Linked DNA regions of Coturnix japonica. The protein of the gene in region 7 purifies or fractionates together with the protein of the main gene of each other region. This does not show direct contact. Links are inferred from orthologs where the notes say so. Each region holds a gene or a part of one and is shown on either strand. Other genes may lie near its edges.

What was found.
Region 1: the proteins of NPM1 (region 7) and RPS20 purify together in Homo sapiens (affinity purification with mass spectrometry; 3 studies listed by BioGRID and IntAct, with this or other methods). This does not show direct contact. The link is inferred for Coturnix japonica from reciprocal best matches to the Homo sapiens genes NPM1 and RPS20.
Region 2: the proteins of NPM1 (region 7) and PDCD11 purify together in Homo sapiens (affinity purification with mass spectrometry; 3 studies listed by BioGRID and IntAct, with this or other methods). This does not show direct contact. The link is inferred for Coturnix japonica from reciprocal best matches to the Homo sapiens genes NPM1 and PDCD11.
Region 3: the proteins of NPM1 (region 7) and TOP2A purify together in Homo sapiens (co-immunoprecipitation; 3 studies listed by BioGRID and IntAct, with this or other methods). This does not show direct contact. The link is inferred for Coturnix japonica from reciprocal best matches to the Homo sapiens genes NPM1 and TOP2A.
Region 4: the proteins of NPM1 (region 7) and CENPA purify together in Homo sapiens (affinity purification with mass spectrometry; 4 studies listed by BioGRID and IntAct, with this or other methods). This does not show direct contact. The link is inferred for Coturnix japonica from reciprocal best matches to the Homo sapiens genes NPM1 and CENPA.
Region 5: the proteins of NPM1 (region 7) and PRKCZ purify together in Homo sapiens (affinity purification with mass spectrometry; 3 studies listed by BioGRID and IntAct, with this or other methods). This does not show direct contact. The link is inferred for Coturnix japonica from reciprocal best matches to the Homo sapiens genes NPM1 and PRKCZ.
Region 6: the proteins of NPM1 (region 7) and CTCF purify together in Homo sapiens (affinity purification with mass spectrometry; 6 studies listed by BioGRID and IntAct, with this or other methods). This does not show direct contact. The link is inferred for Coturnix japonica from reciprocal best matches to the Homo sapiens genes NPM1 and CTCF.

Annotation. Positions count from the first base shown.
Region 1 is NC_029517.1:100,555,796-100,560,120, forward strand, and holds RPS20 (40S ribosomal protein S20), read right to left. Parts: upstream 2,814-4,325; 5' UTR 2,684-2,813; coding exon 2,681-2,683; intron 1,329-2,680; coding exon 1,229-1,328; intron 867-1,228; exon of another isoform or gene 802-866; intron 730-801; coding exon 656-729; intron 430-655; coding exon 247-429; 3' UTR 204-246; downstream 1-203. UniProt on the Homo sapiens protein: Component of the small ribosomal subunit. The ribosome is a large ribonucleoprotein complex responsible for the synthesis of proteins in the cell.
Region 2 is NC_029521.1:20,696,290-20,699,276, forward strand, and holds the end of PDCD11 (protein RRP5 homolog), read left to right. Parts: coding exon 1-8; intron 9-293; coding exon 294-447; intron 448-798; coding exon 799-964; intron 965-1,560; coding exon 1,561-1,732; 3' UTR 1,733-2,460; downstream 2,461-2,987. UniProt on the Homo sapiens protein: Essential for the generation of mature 18S rRNA, specifically necessary for cleavages at sites A0, 1 and 2 of the 47S precursor. Directly interacts with U3 snoRNA. Involved in the biogenesis of rRNA.
Region 3 is NC_029542.1:4,094,079-4,097,522, reverse strand, and holds part of TOP2A (DNA topoisomerase 2-alpha), read left to right. Parts: intron 1-252; coding exon 253-448; intron 449-1,702; coding exon 1,703-1,794; intron 1,795-2,301; coding exon 2,302-2,442; intron 2,443-2,531; coding exon 2,532-2,615; intron 2,616-2,893; coding exon 2,894-3,103; intron 3,104-3,444. UniProt on the Homo sapiens protein: Key decatenating enzyme that alters DNA topology by binding to two double-stranded DNA molecules, generating a double-stranded break in one of the strands, passing the intact strand through the broken strand, and religating the broken strand.
Region 4 is NC_029531.1:53,060-57,292, forward strand, and holds the start of CENPA (histone H3-like centromeric protein A), read right to left. Parts: upstream 2,807-4,233; 5' UTR 2,759-2,806; coding exon 2,677-2,758; intron 2,593-2,676; coding exon 2,495-2,592; intron 1-2,494. UniProt on the Homo sapiens protein: Histone H3-like nucleosomal protein that is specifically found in centromeric nucleosomes. Replaces conventional H3 in the nucleosome core of centromeric chromatin that serves as an assembly site for the inner kinetochore.
Region 5 is NC_029536.1:1,556,729-1,560,956, reverse strand, and holds the start of PRKCZ (protein kinase C zeta type), read left to right. Parts: upstream 1-1,402; 5' UTR 1,403-1,462; intron 1,463-1,826; 5' UTR 1,827-1,911; coding exon 1,912-1,982; intron 1,983-3,510; coding exon 3,511-3,632; intron 3,633-4,228. UniProt on the Homo sapiens protein: Calcium- and diacylglycerol-independent serine/threonine-protein kinase that functions in phosphatidylinositol 3-kinase (PI3K) pathway and mitogen-activated protein (MAP) kinase cascade, and is involved in NF-kappa-B activation, mitogenic signaling, cell proliferation, cell polarity, inflammatory response and maintenance of long-term potentiation (LTP).
Region 6 is NC_029526.1:1,462,694-1,466,693, reverse strand, and holds the start of CTCF (transcriptional repressor CTCF), read left to right. Parts: upstream 1-1,195; 5' UTR 1,196-1,244; intron 1,245-1,702; exon of another isoform or gene 1,703-1,939; intron 1,940-3,060; exon of another isoform or gene 3,061-3,128; intron 3,129-4,000.
Region 7 is NC_029528.1:13,578,420-13,581,950, reverse strand, and holds part of NPM1 (nucleophosmin), read right to left. Parts: intron 3,018-3,531; coding exon 2,916-3,017; intron 1,270-2,915; coding exon 1,195-1,269; intron 228-1,194; coding exon 189-227; 3' UTR 1-188. UniProt on the Homo sapiens protein: Involved in diverse cellular processes such as ribosome biogenesis, centrosome duplication, protein chaperoning, histone assembly, cell proliferation, and regulation of tumor suppressors p53/TP53 and ARF.

The DNA.
Region 1 (4,325 bases), on a different chromosome or scaffold from region 7:
AAGTGCTGCACATCCATATAGTCACCAATCTCTAATCAAATTACGATGCCCAAATTTCATCATCTCACAATTCATGTGTCCTTCCTGAAAAATAATGTCAGGAAAATGCGATCTTCCCATCTAGCATTTTGGTTATGTCCTTATTGAGGAAAATCAGAGAACCACAACAGACTCTTGGCATAAATACAAAAAAAGACAGCAAAGAAAATTTGTAAGCCAGCTTTATTCAAAGTAGATGACTACGATTTAGGCATCGGCAATAGTAACTTCAACTTCTACGCCTGGCTCAATGCTGATGGAAGTGATCTGCTTCACGATCTCAGAAGGGCTGTGCAAGTCAATGAGTCGCTTATGGATCCGCATTTGGAAACGATCCCAGGTCTTGGAGCCTTCACCACAAGGTGTCTTCCTGGTAGTGATGCGCAGAGTCTGAAGCAAAACCATAAACACAGGGTATCAAGCTGATGTACACAAGAAGCCCTTTCTACTTTTATCACGCAACGGTTCTCAAAGCATCAAAGAACGTAGATATGCCATTACGTCTTTATAAAACAACCCTCCATTTAGTAGTATTGCTTTTTATCTCAGCTTTTTTTTTTTTTTTGTTTTATAGACATTTTAGAAACACAACATGGTTTTTATCAGGTTTAAATACCTTGGTGGGCATGCGCACAGGTCCTTTCACTTTCAGGTTTTTCTCCTTAGCGCCTCTGATCAAGTCAGCACAGACTGAAAACACAGAATGGTTTTAGGCTTGTGGATCTTTTGTTTGTTGTTTTAAACAGAGACTTTTACAAGATACGTTGGCTCAGAATAGCGTATTAAATGATCACTGCAATTCAGGTTTAGGTTTATCCTCACAGCCAACAGCATTGACATAAAAAGACTTACAGCAGAAAAACAATCACAACAGCAATAGAAAGTTGTTAGTACCACTTAACCCATATTTGAGCCGCCAGCAACCCAAAAATCAGGCAACAAGTATTGCTTTTACATTTATAATATTCAATTTAAATGTTGCCAACACAGTTCCTAAATGGAATTTATTAATGCCTTACTGAACGTTGAGCTGCTGACTACTTAATGACAAGCATGACAAAGTATCAATGAAGAAAACCAATGCCTTTGGGTTCTCAACACTCCAACAGTAACATCCCCAGAAAAACAGAGGGACAGAAGCTCTCTCTTAGTGCTACTTTAGTTTAAAAGAAAATGAAGTATCACTCACCCTTCTCAAGTGATTTGACATTGCGACTGGTCAAAGTAATTCTGATGCGATGAATTGCTACCTCTTGCTCCACAGGTGCCTTGCCAGTATCTTTAAACGCCTGAAACGTGAGAGAGATCAAACGCTACAATCAGCACCAACTAACACAACCGAAAACGGGTTTGTGGAATGTGAAGTACAATTTGGCTTTGGGACTATGTTATATGCTTGATGTGATCGGGCAGGTACAACGGCACTGTCCAAACAGTGGTAATAAAAGATGATGAGAGCAGTCATTGCTGTGAGAAGCAGTGTGAAGAGTAACTGCTTTGCAGGGTGGAAAGCTTCGGTAACACCTCTGCCTGATTTGCCTACATATAAAGCAGCCTGTCCAGGCACTGATCATGACTGATTCTTGTCCTTCCCTACTAGTCTACCCTGGTGAGGCTGCATCTGGAATACTGTGTCCAGCTGTGGGCTCTTCAGTTCCAAGAAATGCGGGGAACTATTGAAGAGAGACCAGTGGGAGGATACAAAGGTGATTAGAGGCCTGAAGTGCCTCCCTTAAGAGGAAATGCAGAGAGACCTTGGGACTGATCATCCCTGGGAAGACTGAGAGGGGATCTCATCGCTATTTATGAATATCTGAAGCGCAGGAACCAAGTTTATTGGGCAAGATGACTCTATGGTGGTATGCAGCAACAGAAAAAAGTGCATGGTCCAAAACCAGAACACAGGAAGTTTCATACAAACTTAAGGAAGAACTTTGTTACTGTCAGAGCAATGGAGCAGCAGAACAGGCTGCCCAGTGGGGCTGCAGAGCCTCCATCTCTGCAGATACTCAAAACTCACCTGTGTGACCTACTCTTGGGAACCTGCTTTAAAGAGAGCAGGGCCAGATGGCCTCCAGAGGTGCCTTCCAACCCCTGTGTGACTCGTATCCAAACGCCTGTAAAATTCTACCACCCTAACAGCCCCACTATAAATCCTAACGAGGATATCAGCTAAACGGGCACAACTTTGAGCAAAGAGATACATCTGACCAGAAAGCCTGACCGTGCTACTTCTGGCACTGATCTGAAGAGATCAGTGCAATTAAACGTTTGTGAGGGGCTGTATTAAAGCGAACCTATAAAAGGATGGGAAAACACACAGTAAAGAAGCATTAAAAAAGAAAGAAACAACAAGAAGCGCGGCGTTTCTCCGTCCGACCCTCGGGTAAGCTCCTCGGGTAAGAGCCCCCACTAAAGCCAGGCGCTAGAGCCCGAGCTCTCCCCAAGGCGGCCCACGGGGCCGATCGCACACGGCCGCCCCGCAGCGCTCCGCGGCCACACGCGGCCTCGCCCCGCCCCAGCGCCGCGCTTCGGGCCCGGGCCCAGGCCCAGCGGGCGGCACACGGCCGGCAGGGCCCGGCGGATCCACGCGGCGCTGCCCCCCACCCGTTCCCCCCCGCTCCGTCGCCCCCCGCCTCACCATGGCGGCAGCGGGGCCTTCCTGGCCGACTTATTCCCGGGCGGGGCGCGACGCGAGGCCCAGCGAACAGCGGTGAGCCAGGAGGAGGCGGCGAGAGGAGGGAGCTGCGGCGGCGGGCGGGTTATATAGGTTGTATAGGCACCGCCTCCATCCGGGCGCTTCGGGACCTTTCACACCGGGGCCGGCGCCCGGAAGAGGCGGGGGTGGATGTGCTGGTCTGCTGTGTTATGTGGGGTTGGTGAGGGAGATGTAGCAGCACGGCCTGGAAGCTCGTTGGTGCTGCTGGATGAGTGGCGATGCGGGAGTGTTTCTTTCGTTCATGGCCGGGCTTAGGGACTTGAATTTATGCCATTCAGAGGGACCTTGACAGGCTGGAAAGCTGGGCTCGGGTGAACCTAATGAGTTCAACAGCGGCCCAAATGCAATGGTTTTTAGCACTTGGGCCGGAAAGAACCCCAGGCACCGTAAGCAGGCTGGGAGGAGTGGCCCTTAAGAGTCAGTCTGCGCCGGGGTCCTGATGGACCAAAGACCTCAACATGAGCCAGCATTGCGCCTCTGGCGCCTGGAAAGCATATGGATCCTGGGCTCCATCAGGAGAGGGTGGCAGTCAGGGATAGGAGAGGTGATTGGGCCCTCTCTACCTTTGCTCTGTGAGGCCCCATCTGGAGTACTGTGTCCGGTGTGACCTTCAGTACAAAAAAGACATAGAGATTTTGGGAAAGGGTCCAAGAAAGGGCCACGAAGATGATCAGGGGGCTGGAGCACTCCCCTATGAGGACAGGCTGAGGGAGTTGCTTGTTCAGCCTGGAGAAAAGAAGGTTGCGGGGTACCTCATTGCAGCCTTTCAATATGAAGGGAACTTACTCCCAGAGAGGAGTAAACTCTTCAAAAGGGCTCGACAATGCAGGACACGGGGAATATGGTTTTAAGTTAAAAGAGGAGATTTAGGTTGGATGTTAGGGGGAGATTTCTTCACTAGAAGAGTGGTTAGGCTCTTGGGAACAAGCTTGCCCAGGGTGGTTGTGGATGCCCCGCCTTGAAGGTGTTCAAGAGACAAGGTTGGACAGGGCCCTGGGCAAACCTGATCTAGTAAATGTGTATGTTGTGGCCCTGGCAGGCAGGGGGGTTGGAACTACATGATCCTTGAGGTCTCCAATCCAGGTCATTCTGTGATTCTGTGAATTTGTTTCCTGGTTTTATTGGCATCTCTTGAGAGCACTCATTGCTCTCTCAGATAGCGGCCAGCCACAAAGAAAGCGTTTTGCTGCTGCTTCCCGCACGTCTGCTCAGTCTTTTCTGTAATCATTGTGATTATTGAAGAGAGACAGCTTAGCACCTTGATCTAAGCTTAGTTTCACCTGGCACCCTGCCCTTATGTTTTTGTGTTTTCCCTTATCAAACATTTCATGGGTCTTCATGTGATCCTTACGCTTCATGCAACTTAGACAACTTTTGTGTGCTGATGTTGCATTGCAATGCTCAGTTGTGGGCTTGCTGTGCAGTCACAGCCCCTGCACTTGCACTTCATAGCCTCTCACTTACTAAAGGATCAGTTTTAAACTCGATGCTCCATTCTGATAAAGCAGCTTCAATAAATACGAGTACAGAAGCCATCATCCCGTCACAGCTTCCTGGATGGTTTGCT
Region 2 (2,987 bases), on a different chromosome or scaffold from region 7:
AGTACAAGGTGAGATTGTGCAAGCACTTCCCAGGCAAGTATCCTGTTCTGTCATGTCAGTAAACCACCAGTCCTGGCTGCATAAGCTTCTGGCTCTCAGATGTTAACCCTGTCCTGTTCCTAACTGGGATTAGTAATTGTGGTTGGCATCAGACGAAGAATTATTGATACTTACTTCTCACAGATGTTCAGAGATGCTTGGTCCAGGAACAAGAGTTTAATGAGCAATAGTCTAATGAGCTACAGGGCTTTGTTACAAGTCTGTTGTGATCTAACCCAACTTTGCCATTCCAGCAAGCAGAAGAATTGTACCACACAATGCTGAAGCGTTTCCGTCAGGAGAAATCAGTGTGGCTGAAATACGCCTCTTTCCTCCTGAAGCAAGGCCAGACTGAGGCTACACACAGGCTTTTGGAGCGTGCTCTCAAGGCTCTGCCCACCAAAGAACGTAAGCACTTGTTGCTAATCGTAACTTGGTCTATGTATTTGTGGGTATCCAGTAGATGGTCTGCCTTCTGATATCTCTGCATGTGACAGTGGTTATACTAAGTGAAAACTGCAGCCGGATAGTGTTGAATCTGCTTTCCTTGAGTGTAAGAGGAGGGGAAATTTCAGCCTGGTTATCAGTACTAAAGACTCTTGTAAAACAAAAAAAAATTGCAGCTCCTTCACTCTGACCCTCCACCTTAGACCAGAATCACTTTACACACTAGTCTCTGAACAGAGATGATGCTGTCTCTGTTCTCTTCATAGGAATGAGGGCTGCTGTGATCCCCTAATATGTCATTTCTTGTTCCAGATGTGGATGTCATTTCAAGGTTTGCACAGTTGGAGTTCCGTTTTGGTGACGCAGAACATGCCAAGGCCCTGTTTGAAAGTACTCTCAGCAGCTACCCAAAGCGAACAGATATCTGGTCCATCTACATGGACATCATGATCAAACAGGGCAGCCAGAAGGAAATACGGTAAGTTGTGCTATAAGCAACGGGGAAAGGGACAGTATAATGCTTGAAGTAACACCCGAAAAGAGCACAAGTGCCCTGCAACATGATATTGTTGAGTGCCTTCCAGAGCAAAGGAGAATTTGTATCTCATAGAGAAGAACAAAATCTTGTTCTCTCCAGGTCTGGGAAGACTCCAAGGAGATCTGCATGGCAGAGTTAGCAATTAATAGTAAGGAGTGACCTGCAGAACTAGAGTGCTTACAGTAAGGTTCAGCCCTTTTATCTCTTGTAACATGAAACTAAGGAGAATGGTCTCTTTTTTGCTGCGATGACAAAAGGAAGTTCAGCTTCTCACACTATAGATCCAGCTGCAGGCATTTCATGACCATTGGGTCAAATACAATGGCTGGATCTTAGTGTAAGTCATCCTGCAACTTTAGAGTTACGAGGAGGGTTTCTGCTTTGAGGCTTTCATCAGTTCTCATGAATCTGTTCCTTGAGGCATTAGATGGTGAATCTCCTGTGAGTTTCTGCTCTTTGCTCAGTGACAAGGTACAGGGCTTGTGTTGACTGCTGTCACCAACGTAGCAATCTGAATCACTTTGTTTTTTTTGCAGGGACATCTTTGAGAGGGTCATACACCTGAACTTAGCACCAAAGAAGATGAAATTCTTCTTTAAGCGCTACCTGGATTATGAGAAGAAATATGGTACAACAGAAACTGTCATGGCTGTTAAGACAGCAGCAATGGAGTATGTAGAGGCCAAGAGTTCCCTTGCTGACACCTAAACACAGCGCAAGCAAAAGCAGAGACTCCACTCTCCATGCAAAGTGGGAACTGAGAGGCATGGAGTTTCCATGGACAGTGTATTTCTGAAGAGTACTGGTCTGTGACCAAACTGAAGTAGAAGGATCAAACAATCTAAAGAAAAGATTTCATAAATGTGTGCAGCTTTGTCTGTTACAGATAACCTTTGTCTGTTGGTGACTAAAGACAGTTTTAAGTACAGATCGTTTTATAATCAGTGTAAACATCACACCCCTACCTGGTCTACTTTCCTATGGAAATAGTGCTGTTGCAATTCACTGTCTTTAGGTACAGTGATGTGTTACTGATTTCTCTGGCAAGATGGCAGAGAAGAATCTTGCCTTTCACTTTTTTTTGATACTTAGAAAGATTAACCCGAAGTCCTTTTGTGCTTCTAGTGATTGACAGTGCAACCCCAAATCGTGATGTAGATGAGGTTGGGAATTACCTTGTTCAAACCCCTGCTCAAAGCAGGGTCAGATAGAGTAGGTTGCCTGGGGCCACATCCAGTTTGGTTTTGATCTCCAAGGATGGAGATGCCACAGACTGTCTGCCAACCTATTCTGGTGTTTGTCTATGTTTACAGTAAAAAAAAAGGAAGAAAATACCTTTATTTTACATTCAAATGGAGTTTCTTGCACTTCAATATGTGCCCATTTTCTCTTGTGCTGTCCCAGGACACCACTAAGAATTGTTTGGTTCAACCTTTTTTATACTCTCCTGACAATTATTTATACACATGGATAAGATCTGGCTTGAGCCTTTCTTCAAACTGAAAGCTCCAGCTCTGTTTCTCTTTTGTGTGTGATGGATGCTCCAGTCCCGTTGTCATCTTCCACTCTGGTAAACTCAGTGATAGTATTTCTACAATAAGATGTGGGTGATGTGATGGTTTTTTATAGACAGAGAATTGAAAGTGAGGGGAAAAAGCATGGAATGCAAAGAGGTGATTATCCACTGTAGACACTAGCAAGTGGATGCCCAAGTTCAAAACAATGAACTTGAATAACCTCACTCATAATGTGCTCTGAACTTGAAACCAGAGTTCTGCAGGACTCAACACTTCTGCCTCTCTGAATGCCCAGCATGGGCAAGGCTGAGTAATTAAGCATTCAGTTAATTCCCAAATCCGATGGGATCTAAAAACAAGTTATTTTCCTGCTTATCCCCAGGGACAGCAGGGTGCTGGACCCATACTTAATGCTCTTCTAGAGAAGGAGGAAACTTTCTTGAAAC
Region 3 (3,444 bases), on a different chromosome or scaffold from region 7:
GATGTTAGATGCAAGAAATGGATCCAACAAATAGCTTTAAGATTGAAGTGATGTTAGCTCTGTGTTTTTAAGTTCTAAAATGGTCTCTGCTGCTGTGCTTGCAAGCTGAAATAATTTCTGAAACAACACTAAGGTTTAAAATGGGTTGGTTAATAAATAAGTTGACTGTAGGATCATGTCTGCGTTACAACTGACTTTCAGTGGTTTTGAAGATCAGTTTTATGCTCACAAAACCCATGTTCTTTCATCCAGGTTCTTTTCGACCATGTTGGTTTCCTCAAGAAGTACGAGTCTCCTCAGGACATCCTTAAAGAGTTCTTTGAGCTCAGGCTCCGGTACTATGGGTTAAGGAAAGAGTGGCTTATTGGGATGCTGGGTGCCGAGTCTGCAAAGCTGAGCAACCAGGCTCGATTCATCCTGGAGAAAATAGATGGCAAAATTGTGATCGGTACGTGCTGCTCTTGGTTCTTTGGCTTTTGAAACTGGGAGAATTAGGTGCTCTCTTGAGCTCTGTCAGCGCCCTCTCAGCCCCAGTCTGGCTATTCACAAAACACATCAGAGCTTATCTTTCCATTCTAGTAAGATAGAAGAGGAAAATGCTTCACGGAACATCCTCTGTAGTGTTATGCACATATAAATTAAAACAGAGCACTCTCAGAGGTTTTCTATTGTGTATTTGCACTACTTCAAAAGTATAAATGTAGGAAAAGAAGTGCTGGTGTGGGGGGCTGGGGGGGGTTCCCAGTTGGTTTGGGTTTTCTGTTCCCGTGCATTCTTAGGAGCCTGTATCTTCTCTGTGTTATCTTTATGAAACTGCAAAATATTCCAAATTGTGTTCTCAGTGAAGTGGAGTTTCAAAGTTAGAAGGCAGCCAAGCTCACAGCATCTGAGCATCATGAGCTAGAAAAAGAAACAGGTCTTTGTTTACAGCACTTGAACTTCTCAGCCAGCTCCAGCTCAGCCTACAAGGCAGTCTGTATTTCACTTGCATGTATGGAAGGCACAGCTGCACAATGGGTCATGGGATGCTCTGTGGTTCGTGTCTGAGGGCTGCCCAGTGTTCCTACAGTCTGTGTCTGTTTGACTCAAGAAGGGAAATCGTTCCCTTGCAATGCGTTTCCTTGGGTTGCTGCAATAAGCAGTTCCAAGGCTGACAGAGCTGGTTTCATTTGTATTTGTGTCTCACGGATGATTGCCTCTGCGACATCAGAAAGAAGAAAATTCCAGCTGACGCATTACCATTGGCTGGGCCATTTATAGAATAGATTTCCCAAGTGATGCCCAATGAGGCTCACACTATGCTGAAGCCTTGAAGTCACATCAGGGCTTTTTCCCCCACCTGCCTGTTATAAAACCATTCTGATCCCATCACGCTTCCTTTTTTTCCCCAAACTCAGAGTCTGTTTAGGGCAGGGGAAATGCATGTACGGAAATGATGGAGCAAATGTTTCGAGTGCTCCAGCAGGTGTTCCTGACAGCCCAGGAGAAATGCTGAGCTAACAAATCGCTCCTAAATAGCAAATTTTGGGTGTTATTTTAGGACCTGCCACGTGTCCCAGCTCGAATTAGGAAAGGCTGTTTTAGAGCTGTATAGGATGCTGAACTGTTTTAACTACTGGAGTCAAAATGTGAAGGTCATTTGTCTTTGCTGACAGGGACTGCAGTGGTCACTAACTGGCAATTCTGAAATGTCTCTTCACAGAAAACAAACCCAAGAAAGAACTGATTCAAGTTCTTATCCAAAGAGGATATGAATCAGATCCAGTGAAGGCCTGGAAGGAATTGCAAAACAAGGTAGCACTTCAGTCATCAATTCGTTATCAGTTCTTAGGAAGAAGCAGAAGCTGCTTTGCCATTTGGAGAATTCAAGAGCTGGTGTGCCTGATAGGGAAAGCGAGACAAAGAAATGTTCAGTCTCTCATTTGGAAGGCACTGAGGCAGAGTGGTGACTGATCCAGCAGTGGCAAAGTCCTGCTGCTTCCATTTCCAGTGCTCCTCAAGCGATCTGCTCTTCCTGAGCGACTTGTTGTAAAAGGGCAGCAAGGACGATGGCAATTGTTAAGCAGCCTGAGAAGAACTTGGTTGCTCAAGACAGAGGCCAAATAGGGCAGAGCAAAAGAGCTTTAAAGAATTCTTTGCAGTTGGTCTCCTCTGTGTGGTAGCAGCTTTCAGGCCATAATTCCTTCTGTATCCTTTTCAGAATTGTGCTTTAAGAGGGTCCAGGACACTGTGAGCACATGGCAGCCCTGTCATTGTATGTGGCTGTATTTGCTGACAATGTTTGATTAAATTCTCATTCAGGAGGAAGAAGAAGAAGGAGATGAGAGTGACCAGGAACCAGCTGCAGCTACGGGGCCGGATTTCAACTATCTTCTGAACATGCCCCTTTGGTACCTGACTAAGGAGAAGAAAGATGAGCTCTGCAAGCAGAGAGATAACAAAGTATGCTCCTTATTTTTCTGATGAAAGCATTCTATTTTTCTATGATGGGTTAAACTATGCGGCTCACCCACGATTCTCATTCACTTTAGGAAAAGGAGCTGGAAGACCTGAAGCGCAAGAGCCCCTCTGACCTGTGGAAAGAAGACCTTGCTGCCTTTGTTGAAGAGCTGGATGTACGTCAGTGCTCTGAACAGATGATTGGCTCCCTTGTAGCTTTATCCAGTTATTAACTGAATTCTTTGCCATACAAAGGAAACAACAGATGGAAATTTGTATGTCTTGCATTAGGTTCACTCCAATAGGAGTTAAAGCTTTCTTTGCCTTCCTAGGATAGGGTAGGAGTACTGTGCTGGGGGGCAGGCAGTCAAACCACCAAGGAGGCTGGGGTATTTTCCAGTAGGACACTGGCTTTTATTCTCATGGTTGTGTTACTTTATGTTTGATTCTGCAGGCGGTAGAAGCCAAGCAAATGCAGGATGAAATGGCAGGGATAACTGGCAAACCTTTAAAGGCAAAAGGAGGGAAACAAGGAGGGAAGCAAAAGGTGACAAAGGCACAGCTGGTGGAAGTGATGCCGTCACCTCATGGCATAAGGGTTGTTCCTAAGATCACTGCAGAAATGAAGGCGGAGGCAGAAAAGAGAACTAAAAAGAAGATAAAGGTAAGAAATATATGGATGCTCCAAACACTGTTATTAGATCTTCCCCAATACAGGCAGTCCTGTAGAAACACGTTCTTGTTAGCTGAACTTAACCGTGCCATTCAGCTTCCTGCAGCCTGAAATACAGAAATGGCTGTATTTCTGTATATATATCCACCTGTGCTGGCCTGCAGTCAGCTGCTGCTCCTTTCCTCTGGATGATTCCATCTAACAGCTTTTCCAGTTACATTTGCACTGTTGATTTCACTCACCCTGTTTGAGTTCTGCATCCCCAACACGCCCCGGGGCTGTGCCATCAGCACACAGGCAGTCCCAAGGCACGCTCAGGTGTGGCCATAAAG
Region 4 (4,233 bases), on a different chromosome or scaffold from region 7:
TGGGTCCCCACTTTTAGGGGGGTCCCTACTTTTTTGGGGGTCCCCACTTTTGGGGGGGAATCGCCACTTTGGGCTGGGGTCCCCACTTCGGGGGTGTCCCATCTTTTGGAGGGTTCCCACTTTGGGGCTGGGGTCCCTACTATTCGGGGGGGGGTCTCCACTTCTGGGGGGGTCCCTATTTTTGGGGGGGTCCCTACTTTTATAGGGGTCCCTACTTTTGGATGGGAGTCCCCACTTTGGGCTGGGGTCCCCACTTCGGGGGTGTCCCATCTTTTGGGGGGTTCCCACTTTGGGGCTGGGGTCCCTACTATTGGGGGGGGTCTCCATTTCTGGGGGGTCCCTATTTTTGGGAGGGGTCCCCACTTTTGGGGGGTCCCTGCTTTTGGGGGGGTCCCCATTTCAGGGGTGTCCCATTTTTGGGGGGTTCCCACTTTGGGGCTGGGGTCCCTACTATTGGGGGGGGGTCTCCACTTTTATGGGGGGGTCCCTACTTTTGGGGGGGGTTCCTACTTCTGGGGTGGGTCTCCACTTTTGGGAAGTCCCTACTTTTTTGGGGGTCCCTACTTTTGTGGGGGAGTCCCCACTTTGGGCTGGAGTCCCCACTTCAGGGGTGTCCCATCTTTTGGGGGGGTCCTCACTTTGGGGCTGGGGTCCCTAATATTGGGGTGGGGTCTCCACTTCTGGGGGGAGTCCCTACTTTTGGGGGGGTCCCTACTTTTGGGGAGGAGTCCCCACTTTGGGCTGGGTTCCCCACTTCGGGGGTGGGTCCCTACTTTTGGGTGGGTCCCTACTTTTGGGGGGGTCCCTACTTTTGGGTGGGGTCCTCACTTTGGGGCTGGGGTTCCTACTATTGGAGGGTGGTCTTTAATTCTGGGTGGGTCCCTATTTTTGGGGGGGTCCCCACTTTTGGGGAGGTCCCTACATTTGGGGGGGGTCCCCACTTCGGGGGTGTCCCATCTTTTGGGGGCGTCCTCACTTTGGGGCTGGGGTCCCTACTATTGGGGGGTAGGGTCTCCACTTCTGGGGGGGTCCCTACTTTTGGGAGGGGGTCCCCACTTTGGTTGGAGGTCCCTACTTTTTTGGGTGTCCCCACTTCGGGGGTGTCCCATCTTTTGGAGGGGGGTCCTCACTTTAGGGCTGGGGTCCCTACTATTGGGGGGTGGTCTCCAGTCCTGAGGGGGCCCCTATTTTTGGGGGGGGTCCCTACATTTGGGGGGGTCCACACTTCTGAGGGGGTCCCATCTTTTGGGGTGTTCCCACTTTGGGGCTGGGGTCCCATCTTTTGGGGTGGGTCCTCACTTTGGGGCTAGGGTCCCTACTATTTGGGGGTAGGGTCTCCACTTCTGGGGGGGTCCCAACATTTGAGGGGGTCCCAACATTTGGGGGGGTCCCCAATTTTGGGGGGGGTCCCCACTTTTAAGGGGTTCCCTACTTTGGGGCTGGGGTCCCTACTATTGGGGGGTAGGGTCTCCACTTCTGGGGGGGTCCCTACTTTTGGGAGGGGGTCCCCACTTCGGGGAGTGGTCCCATTTTTTGGGGGGTTCCCACTTGGGGCTGGCCGGTCTCCTATTATATATGGGGAGGGGGTATCCACTTTTAGTGGGGGGGTCCCTACTTTTGGGGGGAGTCTCCACTGTTGGGCTGAGGGTCCCCACTTCAGGGGTCTCCATCTTTTGGGGAGGTCCTCACTTTGGCGGTGGGGTCCCTAGACTATTGGGGGGGGATCCTCCACTTCTGGCGGGGGGTCCCTACTTTTGGGGGGGTCCCACTTTGGAGCTGGAGGGTCCACTACTTCTGGAGTGGGTCTCCACTCTTCTGGGGGGAGAGTCCCAACACTTTGGGGGGTCGCTCACTTTTGGGGCTGGGTCCCTAATTATTGGGGGGGTCCATTACATTTGGGGGGGGTCCCCACTGCGGGATGTCCCATTCTTTTGGGGGAGGTCCACTTTGGGGCTGGGGTCCCTACTATTGGGGGGTAGGGTCTCCACTTCTGGGGGGATCCCTACTTTTGGGAGGGGGTCCCCACTTTGGGCTGGGGTCCCTAGTTTTGGGGGGGGGTCCTCACTTTGGGGCTGGGGTCCCTACTATTGGGGGGTGGTCTCCAGTTCTGAAGGGGCCCCTATTTTTGGAGGGGGTCCCCACTTTTAGGGGGTCCCTACATTTGGGGGGGTCCACACTTCTGAGGGGGTCCCATCTTTTGGGGGGGTCCTCACTTTGGGGCTGGGGTCCCTACTATTGGGGGGGGGATCTCCAGTTCTGAGGGGGTCCCTATTTTTGGGGGGGGTCCCCACTTTTGGGGGGGTCCTATTTTTTGGGGGGTCCCCATTTCAGGGGTATTTTTTGGGGGGGGGGTCCTCACTTTGGGGCTGGGGTCCCTACAATTGGGGGGGGGTCTCCATTTCTGGGGGGGTCCCTATTTCGGGGGGGGTCCCCACTTTTGTGGTCCCCGTTATGTGTTATGGGGGTGGGTTCCGTTTCGGGCCCGTCCCGTTACCACACGAGCGAAGGGCCGTCGGCGCAGCAGCAACGCGGTGCTGCTCTGATAGCGGCGGATCTCCTTCAGCGCTCTCTGACCGGGCCGATACCGGCGGACTAAAATAAAGGCGAAAAGACGGGATAGAAAACAAACAACACCCCCCTCTCAATCCCACCCCCCCCATCGCCGGCTGCACTCACCGCGGGGTCTCCGGGGGGTCGGGGGGGGAGCTGTGGGGGGGCGGCTCCGGCGCCGCGGGGAGTGCGGTTTAGGCCGCGGCATAATGGCGGCCGCCGGAATTCGAATCGCGCGCCCTGGAGTGACGTCACATCCGCTCAGCGCTCGGAAGCCGGAAATGGCGCTGAGCCGCTCTAGGCTGCGGGAGGGAGGGGGGTAGACTCTATGGTGGCTCGGAGGACTGTGCGTTGATTAAAGCCGTTCTGATCCCAGTTCAACCCATTTATAACCCATTGTGATCTTTTTTGACCGGATGGGCCTTTTATGACCCAGTGTGATCCAATCTAACCACAATATGATCCCAATTGTGCTGCTTGTGCACCTCTGGCACAGAGAAGAGAAGGTTGCGGGGTGACCTCATTGCAGCCTTTCAATACCTAAAGGGAACTTACCCCCAGGAGGGGAATAAACTCTTGGAAAGGGCTGACAATAGCAGGACACGGGGAAATGGCTTTAAGTTAAAAGAGGGAAGATTTAGGTTGGATGTTAGGGGGAAGTTCTTCACTAGGAGAGTGGTTAGGCCCTGGAACAGGCTGCCCAGGGAGGTTGTGGATGCCCCGTCCTTGGAGGTGTTCAAGGCCAGGTTGGACAGGGTCATGGGCAACCTGATCTGTGGGGTCTCTATGGGGTCTATGGGGTCTCTATGGGGATCTATGGGGTCTCTATGGGGATCTATGGGGTCTATGGGGTCTCTATGGGGATCTATGGGGTCTATGGGGTCTCTATGGGGATCTATGGGGTCTCTATGGGGATCTACGGGGTCTATGGGGTCTCTATGGGGATCTATGGGATCTATGCGGTCTCTATGGGGATCTATGGGGTCTATGGGGTCTCTATGGGTATCTATAGGGTCTCCTGGGCAACCTGATCTAGTAAAGGTGTATGTTTGGTGGCCCTGCTAGGCAGGGGGGTTGGAACTACATGATCCTTGAGGTCCCTTCCAACCTGGGTCATTCTGTGATTCTGTGGCACAGCACTGATTCCCTCCTTCCAGAAAAAGGGAAAACACATTAAAATCTACATGATTTGCGGAGAGATCACCATGAGGAAATAAGTGAGAACTGCTCTTTAAGAAGAAAATAATAACTGGAAAGCCCCAAGCTCCCGAGCTGCTTCTGCCCTTCCTAAAGCATCAGAGGACACTGGTCAGGAGAGGCAGAGAGCTGAATCTGTTCCTGATTCATGGGCTGTTGCTCGTCTGTGCACTGTAGGTGTGTTGTAGGGTCTTTCCTTCACAGCCAAACGAATTACATTTGATCTTCCCTCGTTCTGTCTTCCCAGTATTATGCTGCACACTGGGCACGTGCAGTGCTGCAGTTAGGATGGGAGAACCTATGATTCTATGATCTCCTCTGCTGCACGGCAGCATGATGTAGATGTGCCCCGCATGATGGCAGGCCAGTACATCACCCCTCCCAGCTGCATGTGCCCACAGCTGTGAATGTAAACACAGCCACACAGCCTTGCCTGCTGCATTCAGAATACCTGAGGATGACTGCAGTGAAGAGACGGTTGTGCCT
Region 5 (4,228 bases), on a different chromosome or scaffold from region 7:
ATTATTACACTGATCTCTTGACTAAGTCTTTGAGTTCCACAGAAGCAAAAACCTTCTGAGAGACACAGAAACTGTCATCCTCCAATTAGGTATGTGCATCCAGCAGTACCCGTGTGCTGCTATTTACCACAGTTCCTGAGTCTTACATACTGAATTAAAGCATTCAACTTCATCTTACTCAGAAAACGAATAAAATTGTGCATCTCCTTTTATACGTGAAGGTAATTGGTTCATTCTGTACCCAGTTTCTCTAGCTATTTTCACTGCCTTGCAGGGTAAGGCAATGCTAAAATGGAACCGGTTGTCTAAATACAGCAGAGAAAATAGTGGTAGCAAGTTCCTACAGCGTATAGAGCATGAAGTAATCCATGGTGTTGGGGTTAACGTTATTAGACAACAGGATAAAAGCACTGACGTGGTGCACAGTGGCTGCTTATTCAGGGTAATGAGTGAGAAAGTGGCTGCATACATTATAAAGGCCATTCAGATTCATGTACAGGAGGGACTTTGGTACAGGAGCGTGGTGTAACCATTGGGGTTGGGAATAAAACTGAAGCTTCTGGATATTTCAGATGTTTTTGGGTGGTTTTTTCCCCATTTGAAAACCATTATCTATCTAAGGACAAAACCTTCATCAACTCTATTTTCATGGCATAAATAGAAATGAACTAAATCTGGTGTCAGTGGGAGCTGACATGGATGTGTCGTATTGATATCATGAAGGACATACAGACACATGAGGGCTGGACCTGGGGGTATCTCTATTGCTCCCATTAATTACAGCCCTGCCTTACAATCCTGGTGTGTCTGAGCGGGGTACAGATCAATGTGGGGTGTTAATACAGCATAGGGATACAGCAGCTCCTATAGAATGGACCCTATAGACCTTGCAGCCATTGAACCGAGAGATCAAACACATTATAAGGGAAATAAACCAACCCCAGGGCTTTCATCCCATAATGAAGTTCTCCATCTCAGCACTCATAAAGGGACCATTCTGTCCCATCAGCGCTTGACACGGTTCCTGATCCCACAGATAACGTAGAGAAAAACCAATTGAACTCAATGAGGCTGTGTTTTTTAATGCAAAAACTCCGCTTTTAAACACTCCCCCATTAACATAAGGGAGCTACTAACAGCAGGGCGGCTCGGCTCCACGTGAGCACAGCGCCCCCTAGCGGCCGCTCAGCGCCACACCTGCCAGCTCAACGCTTGCTTTTTTCTGATTGGCTGCAGGTGTTCGCCTTCCTCATCCATTCTGCTTTTTGATTGGTCACGATGACAACTCCTCTCCCAGGTAACGCTTCCTCGGCCTACGATTGGCGGCGGGGATTGATTCCAGGTGGGACGTAGCTCGCTATTGGCTGACAGGTAAAGCGGGAGGCATCTTATTGGCTGTGTGAGGGGTTAGTCCTCTTAGTCCGCCATGTTTGTCGCGGTGGCGCCGTTGCTACAGGAGCCGGTGGGTGGGAGGGGGGGGAAGGCGGGGAGACTGAGGGGGATATGGGGCGGTGTGTGGGGAGAGCGGCCCTATGAGGTACAAAGAGCGGCCCTATGAGGTACAGAACCGCCCTGTGAGGTACAGGGTGAGACTGGGCTGCGGGCTGGGTGGGGAACCGGGAGTTGGAGCTGGATCCGAACTTCAACACGGGACTTTAAACAACTTCAGGCCGGGACAGGCCGCAATAGGACTCGGTGGGATCCGGGAATGGGGCTGTGTGGTAAATAGGGCTGGGAAAACGGGGCGAACACGCTGAAAAGTCGAGGAGAAAACTTAGTTTCTCTGTTAGAACTGTGCTTCCTCTCTTCTTTCTACTTGTACACAGTAGGTTCGATGCGTTCTGCTTCGGAACGGCGAGTTTTATGGCTTAAAGGAGAGGATCTGTAACGTCGGTGTGATAAACACGGACCATGCCCAGCAGGATGGGCTCCAAAGTGCATCTGGACAAAGATAGCATCAGGGTGAAGGCGCACTACAGCGGGTGAGTCCGTGTGTGTTCTCTATTGTATCCTGTTGTATCCCTCTGTTGTGTCCTGTTGTATCTCTCTCTTGTATCCCACCTAACTTTGATGCCTGTCAAACAAGAGTCTGATCTGCTAACAGAGTAACCAAGTCGTTGTAGTTAACATCTGGTAATTAGAGTTATTAAAATCCCCTCCAGATTCCCACAATGTGCTGCTGGAGGAAGGACATAAGTGGGGAAAACGTGCACAAATGGTGTAAAATTACTTATTTAGATAAAAATGAGAAGTTGAAGAATCTTAATTGCTCCTGATGCTCACGGTGGAGTCATTTGAAGCAGTGCAAGCAGCTCGAGGATCTATTTGTACTAAATTAAACACCTGAAGTTTAAACAAACGCGTTTTCCTGCTGTGAATAAATACCAGAAGTAAACTCTTGCATGTTGTCTGTTAATCTGCCTTTTATTTTTGCTGTCTCCTTCCCCCTCTTTCCCCTCCCAGCAGTTTGAGTAGTGCAATGAAATGTTAACACGCAGCTGCTTCCGTTATCTCTGCAGTGCTTGTTTTGGCAGCTCTGATTTGAGACAATAAATCAAGTCATGGTCCTTATGGCTTCAGCCACTTGTTGACAGAGTCAGGAAGCCTCACTTTATGGCTTCAGCATGAAGTTTGGTTTTTAGATTTAACCTAATTGATTTGCTGCCACAACGAGGACCTTGTGAGCTGGTTGCTTTGATCTGCCTCGTTTTTATGTGATGTTTTAAGTCATTTGAGGAGTTAAATGTTTGGCTGAAGTAAATCTTCAGGCTTGAAGTGTTTAGCTTGAAATGACTGGCATGTGTTGGCAGTAGCCTCAATAATCTTCTCTGATACTTTCCTGCCCAAATAAGCAAATGTGGCTACTGTAGTTTTTAATACTACGCTGGGAAAAAAGGGCTTCTAATTAAATGTAATTATGAAATTAATTCCACCAAACTTAATTGGGAATGAGGTGCTTTCTTGTTGAGTTTACTTACCAGGTCAATGCCGAGTAACTCAGCATTTGAGTGTAGAATTGAGTGGAGTTTTGGCCTCTTCCACATCAAGCTGGAAAGCTTCAGAATTAGGGCTGAGTTCATTCAGGAAGCTGCTAAAAGAATTGTATAGAAATTAATAGTATGCTAAATAAAATACCAATAGGAATCAATAGTAAATGATGGTATCACTTGGGAATCTGAGTTAAATCTAAGCAAGAGGAAGTTATAAAACTATGTTCAGTCTATCTCTGGGTTCCAGGGCTGCAGGTATGTGTGTTTCTGGGTGTGGTGCTTCATACCATCATGTAATATAAGCCTATAAATACACAGCAGAAGGGAAACACGTGTCCTTCTCATTGCGTTATGTCAGTCACTTGAGTAATCATTATTCATATGTTAGAGGGAGCGTTTGATATGAAGAATGCTGATTGTGTAAGTGTGGTGTTGCAGGTTGGAATCCATAGATGGAATTGTTGGAATACTTGGGTTTATGCAGGTATCTCTGACAGAAGTTTGATTTCATGTCATGCAGGGACATCCTGATAACAAACCTGGATGCATCAATAAACTATGATGAGCTTTGTAATGAAGTGCGTGAGATGTGTTATCTGCAACAGGAGCAGCCAATTACCCTCAAGTGGATTGATGACGAAGGTACAGTAAATACTGCTTGGTAGTTCTCATTTTTGGTCTGTTATGGTACAAACAGGCACTGAACAAACTTAAATTAAATTAAAATTAAATTAAACTTAAAAGCCAGCCATTGTAGTGGGGCTGCTTTTGTTTCAGCTTCCTGCTTTATAGAACAGGGTTACATCCCCTGCTGATTACATATAAAACATGACTCAGAATATCAGGATTATACTGTAACCAATTCAAATCTGCAAAGTGAAGGCTCTGAAATTGAATTGTTTTGTTATTACTTGCTTGGACACTGAATGCCAAGGAACACATTGACCTCAGACACTTGTGGTACTAATGCTGTACCCCTCAAAATTCTCCATTCAGCAAGAGACTTGTTGTGTCTTCTGAACTGTGATTTCCCTCTGGGATGTGCTGTTGGGAAGTAATGCAGTTGTGGTATCAGAAGACCGTTTAACTTCCCAGATTTCTTGTTTTTTGTGTAAGATGGATGTTGAGAATTCCCATTATAAGTGATTTTGTTCTGTGGCTGTGCTGGATTGTTAATATCCTGTTGGTGTAAAACAATCATGGTATCATTAAGGTTGGAAAAGGCCTCTAAGATCATC
Region 6 (4,000 bases), on a different chromosome or scaffold from region 7:
CAGCCCAATGTGTCAGCACTTCAAACCCCTCTCACGGATGTGCTGCTCAGCAGCACCAATGACTGTTGCAGCCACTTGCTTTTTTGCAGGAGCTGCAGCCCGTGGGAAGGTGTCTGTGTCATGGTTACATTACTCACATGCTCTGAGAAGCTTTTTCCTTCACCCCATTTACTGCTGTTTCCCTTGTAAATAAAGGAGTGCACAGCCTTTTTGTACCAGCAAATAACAACCAGCCAACACATCCTCTCTTTGGGGAGCATTAGGGCTGGCAAAGCTCAGGACATCACATTCAGTGACCCCAAGAACACCAAGCAGAACAACCCCAAGGAGCCGCTGCCTCTTTGGGGCATCACAAGCTGTGACCTGAGTCTCAAGCCTGAGAAATGAGCCAGATTTTGATGCCTGAGCAACATCTGCCTCTGGGTGTGTAACGTGGAGGGTGATGTTCAGGATGCTGAATGCATTGCAAAGGATCCCATGCGAATCAGCTCCAAAGCGCCTGTGATGGAGGGACCCGAGGCCCAGGGTTCAGCCGTACCCAGCACACAGCGGTGGATGCTTTCAGGCATCTCTGCCAAGCAAAGGCCAGGAGAACGTGTCTCTGCTTCCTCACACAAAGGACATGCAGCACCTGCCATAGGACAGCTCCCAGCAAGAGGCAGATGGAACATGAGCAGCCAGTTACTCCCGACGTGGTGTGTGTGAGTACTTAGAGCCCTTGCAGGGCAGGGCCGTGCTGGGTCCCAACCCATCTCGCTCTGTGGAGAACTCCGCACTCCCTCAGGGCGGGGCGGGGCGCGGCCTCCCCTCAGCGCGACGTGACCCCGCCCCCACGTGACGCACGCACGCACACACGCACGCGAGGTGACGCCGCGGCCGCAGGCCCGCGTTTGAAGTTGGCGCGCGCCCCGCCCCGCCCCTCCCTCCCATCATGCCCCGCGCGCTGCCGCTTCCCCGCGCGCGCCGTCCCCTCCCCCCCCCTTTCCTCTCCCTCCCCCCCCCGCTCCAGCCGGCGGTCCGCGGCAGCCGCGCTCGCGCATGCGCACTCCGCCCCGCCCGCCGCCATTTTGTGTCCGAAGCGACTGTGGAGCGATTAAACCTCGAGCTGGTGCTGGGCGCGAGCGGCCGGGCCGCGGCGGGGCGCGACGGGAAAGGCGGCTCGGCGGGGCCCGGGCCGGGCTGCGGGGCGGCGTGCGGCGGGGCCTCGGCGCCGGGAGCGGAGCCCGGCGGGGGCGCGGGCGCAGGTAAGCGGTGAGCGGGGGGTTTGCAGTCGCTTTCTCCGGCCTCTAGGTGTCACGATGGGGCTCCGCGCCGGCTGGGGCCCCGCAGCGGCCGCCGCCGGGGAAGCAGGGGGCTTTGTCTCCCTCTATCGTCCCCAGCGCGGCCCGCGCCTGCCCGCTGCCACCGCCGCCGTTCCCCACAGCGCGGCGCTGGGCCGCGGCCCGCCCGGCCCCTGGCGGCCGCCTATTTTCCTCCCTTTGTCTCCCCGCCGCCCCACCGGGGCCCGCCGGCCGCCCCCCTCCCGCCACGCGAACCGCCGCCCCCCCCCTCCCCCCCCTTCCCTCCTTTCTCCTTCCCTTTCCCTCCCTCCTCCCCTCCCTCCCCGCCCCGCGTTCCGCGCCGGCCCGCTCCCCCCGTTCGGCCGCTCTTGCTTTTCCCCCCCCCATACCCCCGCCCCCGCTTCCTCCTCCCCATCTCCCACCTCCTCGGGGCTCTCTCTTTTCTCCCTCCTCCAGCTCCTCGTGGGGTTTCGGAGCCGGAGCGGAGCGTTGCGGCGGTTCTGTTGGCCCGGCCCGGCCCGCAGCCCCTTCCTGCCGCCACCTCGCTGCGCTGCCGCCGTGTGCGCTGCGGAGGGAGAGGCGCTGCGAGGCGCAGAGCGGGACTCGAGCTCCCTCTGCAAGGCAGGCTGAGCAGCGCCATGCAGCGCCGGCCCTGGCACGGCTGGGGGGCGCCCGCTCTCGCCTCGCTGCCCTCCCGCTTCCCCCCACCCCCCCCCTCCTTGCAGGCCTCGGCTCCGAGCTAGAAAACGTACTGCAAAATGTGATCCTCCACCCCCCCCAACCCGTGGATATCGCTGCTTTGAATCGTACAAAAGGGGCGATAGCACACAATTCTGCGCCCTGCATCAACTTGATGTTTCCTGCCGTGCTTAGAGCTCCAGATGCCATCAGTCTGCCTTCATTTTGTTCCTTGTGGCCGTCCCCAGGACTCAGCCCTTAGCACTGCTGCTGAGAGCACACCCGCTTTCCTGTTGCTGACTTCCTATTTTTTACCCGGTCTTTTGCTCCCCCCCCCCCCCCCCCCCCCCTCCACTCCCTGTTTGCTGCCAGTTGCTAATGAACCCCAGAGGTGTTGTTAACAGTGCCTGAGCTGCTCCGTGTGTACAGCCTTGAGATTTGGTTCCGTGCAGGAAGTGTTTAAGTGCTTTCTCAGGTCCCACGCTTTGCTCGTGCTGAGCCTGTTGAACTGGTGGCTGTCTTTTGGGCATGAGGAGTGGCTCTGAATTCTTCCTTCAGTCCCATTTTACCTTCTATGTTAGTGCAGGAGAAACCATGAGGACCAAAGAAGGTCTTGAGCATATGAACCAAGCAATGCTTTCTTTTTTTTCCATAGGATGGTCGTTTTTCTTACTTTCATTTTGCTTTTCTCTTTGGACTGCGTTTTGCAAGTCCTTTAAGGGCTGCACTCCTGTTTTGGAGAGCTCCTTGAATGCCTTTGGATGGGGGCTGTCACCCCAATGGCAGGTATGGCAGCACCTCCAAACTATCAGACACCATAATGTAAGAAGGACTCTGTCTCTATGTCCCCTTGCTGCCCTATGCAATTTCAGTTGGATACAGTTATTCTCTTATTAGCGGCACAGCTGTCCAGGGAGGTGGTGGAGCCCCCAACCTTAAGGTGGTCCAGAACCACGGGGATATGGCACTGAGGGACGTGATGCTGTCAGTGTGGATGGATTGAGGTTGGACGTGGTGATCTTAGTGGTCTTTTTGAACCTTAATGATTCTATGTTTCTAACTCAGTATTAATATCTTCTGTATTTATAAGGAAGATGCAGCGAATGATTTCCTTAACGCTCACGAAGCTCCTCGCGGGATATTTTTGAGGCACGACGTCAGAGTCAAAAGGTGCAGAATTGCACTTGCTCTACTCCCCGGTGGCCCTGCAGCTGAACTAACATGGCTCAGGGAGTTTGCTGAGCTGTCACTCCAGTGCTGAGCCTGCTGCAGCTCCTGCCCACGCCGTCAGCAAGGGAAAGAGCTAATCCAGGCACAGCTCCTGGTGCTGGCAGCCTGTGCCTTGGCTGTGAGCTGGGATGTGTGTTGCTACCAGGCTTTGTGGCTGCGGGTCAGTAGCTACCTGATACTTCAGTCTGTAAAGGCCAGAAGCTGACCTGTGTTGTTTGTATACTATTAATCACTTAAGAATTTCTTCCCTGTAGTGCTTAATATCCTGCTTTTCTCCTGATGGTTTTGGAAGGGAGGTGGGGAGTGTTGCTGGGCTCTTTGCTCTTTGAAGAGCCAGCGTGTTCCTTGCCCTTATGCTCTGTACCTGGGCAGATTGATCACTGCTTGTGGGATCGAGTTGTGCTCAGCTCTTCCTGCTCTGTTTTTGGTTTGTTGGTTATTTCTGAGGGGAAAAGAAAAAAACCAAAAGCACACAAAGCCATAACCTGTAATTTGGGCAGGGAGAGAACAAGGCCAAAGTTACTGTTGCTGTGCAAATGAATGAGGGGCATCACAAGTACTGGAGAAACCAGCACTGAACATTGTATAAAGGAAGAAAAAGCAAATTCCTTCCATGCTGCTGCTTTCTCCTCTGTGTGTCTGCAAGGGGGGTTGTTCCCTGGCCTTGGATCTGGCAGAGGTGTAGCTGAGAGCCCACCAACAAGCCATGCATTGAGGTTCAGGGCTTCTCCTGCCCTTATTATAGTCCTAAAAGCTTTGCACACAAATTGATTCTACCTTTGGCTACTTTTGCTTCTCTTACGTAGTGTTTA
Region 7 (3,531 bases):
CTGAGGGTGGAGTCCCGTCTTTTAAAAACTAAACAGGCATTTTGGACAACACATTCTTGGCAAGGTAATCTGGATGACATTTATCAGACACTGTAGGGAAAGCTCTTTCAGCATTTGTAAAAAGAACAGCCAAATAACGGTTACAGAAGTAAGACTGCAGACTTTAACAAACTGTTTAAATGGTTCTCTTACAGAGTCTGTCTCCATTGCCAGAGAGCTTGAATGACCTGGAAGTGTACACAAATGGTTAGAAACTGAAATCTATTTCTTGTTGTGGTTTTTATTTTTCACCCGCTTTGCTATATTGACATTCAATGACCAAAAAAACCCCACATTTCTTTCAGAGGAAACTAAGCTGAAAGCAACACATCGGATCCTTCTGCTAGAAGGCTGTTATTCGCTTCAATCACAATAATAAAAATCCAGTGAAGGTAAGTGAGAGGATGGGTGTGGACCAGCTAGGCAAATATTGGCTGAACTCTGCCTACCCTGGCTAATGTCAGACTCACTCCAGTAGCTGAGGCTAACTGCTTTTAAGCACTCTTTCAAGAACCTATCAATTTGCCTATCAGACACGTTTACTCTGAACCACCGAAGGAAGCAAGAAAGCGTAAGGAATTCTGTCACTGGAAGAGAAGTTTTCAACTTACAGGAATTTCTGTAGGGAAATCTAAGACGCTTTTTAGCCCAGTACAAGTTGAGTAATAACTAATACAGAAGCTTGCTTCCTGATACCACCTTTTGGCTTGCCCTCTTACAAGAGTTCAGTTGACTTTGGGAGAAAACGCGGCGAGAAAGCCATAATCTCAATTGCAAAACAGTTCCCCCTCCCAGACACCCTCCCCAACAAAAGGCTGAGCGGCAGACTGGCCTAGGTGGCCAACTTCAGCAGCAAGGAAAACCACAGCTCATTTCCTTCACCAATACGGTGCCAAAAGGAAAATTCTGTGGGTTCGGTAAGCAAGAGATAATTTACCAACCATATAAAAGCTGGAAAAATGTAATAAAATATTAACTTTCTCATCTTAGCCAACTAAACCCTTAAAACTGTTCCCATTTAATTTGAAGCATTGTTCGTGGTTTGTAACCCTTTGAAAGAGTCCAAAGCTTGTAAAGATTAAGAAGTGGAAAAGAATCCCTAGGTTAGGTTATAAAAGGCTTTGGGTTTTATCAGGTTTCAATAAATCCAGTTACCTTTTGGTCCTCCGTCCTGAAGCAATTCTTAACATAGTTGGCAAATTTGGGCTCCAGCTTCGGAAGGGAACAACCCTATTTTGAAAAAAAGCAAGCTTTATTGGAATGATGCAACGAGCCGCATACGCTCCACAGCTCTGCTGAAGCTTCAACCTTCTGCAACGCAAGTGGAATTTTACTGAACTCACCTTGCAAGGTCCAAAAGCTAAAGGTTTAAGTTTGCTTTTCTATGGCACCCAGGTATTTCTCAAAGCACTGTGCCTGCACTGAAATGCCTGGACAGGCATCTTCACTCATGTCGTCTGGATGATGCCTTACCCCTGCAATCTACTGGTTTCATTTGCTTGCTGATATCTGCTTAATATTTACTAAAGAAAACCTTCTTTATGACATTAATAAAACAATGGAAGCTGTTCTTTAAGCTGTTAACTCACTGGCTGTTACAGCTAAACGCCACACTGCATTTTGCATAGAGATAAACACCATCTTAAAAAACATGAAATCTCAAGGAACCACCCCAGCACCCATCTGTACCAAGAGGTTAACCTGACCTCAAAAACATCTTGTCAGCATCAGGTTCACCACATAAGGATCCGCATGTCTGTCCTGATAGAAGCACCACCCATCCATCCTTGCTCACTCTGCACCCCTCTGTACACTAAAATAATTTTTGCTGCATTTTGCATTAGTGGGACAAAACTGCCTTAAAACTTCAGGAATCTAAACACAAGATAAGCCTAATCCTATCAGCATTCACAGGTTGCTCAGAGAAGGTACAGATACCCCAATGCCTGGAAGCATCCAAGGCCAGGCTGGATGGGGCTTGGAACAACTGCAAAATGGAAGACATCCCTACTCACACACAGCACAAGGTCTGAAACTATCCCAACCATTCCATGATAGTGATTCTCTGGGTGACTTGTCAGCATAAGGAGGAAACAGCTCATCTCAAATCACAAAAAAAAAACTCTCTCCATTTACTGTCATCACTGTAGGTTTCAGCTTTATTCAAAAACAGCTTTCCAAACGTATTGTTCAGTCACCAAAGGACACATGATTTTTATGCAGTTCTAAGTTACTGAAGTAAAAAACCACAGCTGGTGATGTCAGGTCCTCACCTCCAGCTGTTCTAAAGTAAAGGTTTGTCTGCAGTGAACCTACATAGCACACAGGTATTCAGACTTGGCTTATGGGAAAAGAACTGCTGATTCTTACCACACTTTTTACTCAAGCAACTGACAGAGCACTTCTATCCAAACACAGCTTTAATCACAAGCATCTATCTCCCCCTTCTGGAAGTTACAGAGCCTTACATGCCTCTGGATATCAACTCTGTATACTGCTGGAGGACAAAGCAATTCCAAGCATGCTAAGAACTCCTCCTTACTCTAGCTGCCCCAAACACAAGTCATGAATACTATTTTGTACCACTAGAGTAAACATCACCCCAAGTGATTACTGTGCTCCACTTTTATCCTGCAGCCTCACACTCAGTCAGCAAATACAAAACTAATAACTACTACTGGTTAAATATTTTTCCTCACTTTCTCACAAGCAGAGGCTTATTCTAAATCATCTTTCTTTCACTTCTGGGTGTCAATACGAATTTATCAATATACACTGAGTTAAGAGCACAGCAAGCAGTAACATGCAGTTCTCAAAACCATTCTTCTGCTGTTGGAAGTGTTAAAAATAAGGCTGATCACAGTTAACAAACTCACCTTGTCTACGGAGGCTTGCATTTTTGCTTTGATCTCCTCTAACGTCAGAGGAACTTTGGGTGTTTTTGGAGTTAGAGTTTTGTCCTTCTTGGAATCTGGAGTCTGAAAATTATTCATTTTGTTAGAGATCACATACAAAGCTGCATACAGAGTTATGCATAAAACAAGCTTTCTGAAAACAGAAATACTGGGAAACCTACTGTAGAGTTTATCTTCAATACAAGAAGTGGCTAATAATTACCATAATTATCTTGAACTGTTTCTATGCACGTGTCCACACTGCTTTTTCTTCAAGCAGAAACGAAACTGAAACCAGCCCAAACATTCCCTGATTTAGAGCTCCCTCTACAACTACAGCCAAGTTTGATTCACAATTTGGAAAGGCACGCACTGACTGTGCTTTTCAGGTGCCATGCTTGTACCCATCATCCCACTCTAATTTGTGTATTGACCTTCTTTGAGTAGATGCAGAAAAACTACCAGACATCTAACCTTCACAAAGGACAAATACTGAGTTTCATGGGGTATATGAAGCAAGGAAGTAACAGGTTTCTGAAGGCATATGAAGCATGCTAACTTGATGATTAACACATTAAGTTTCTGCTAGGCAAGGAAA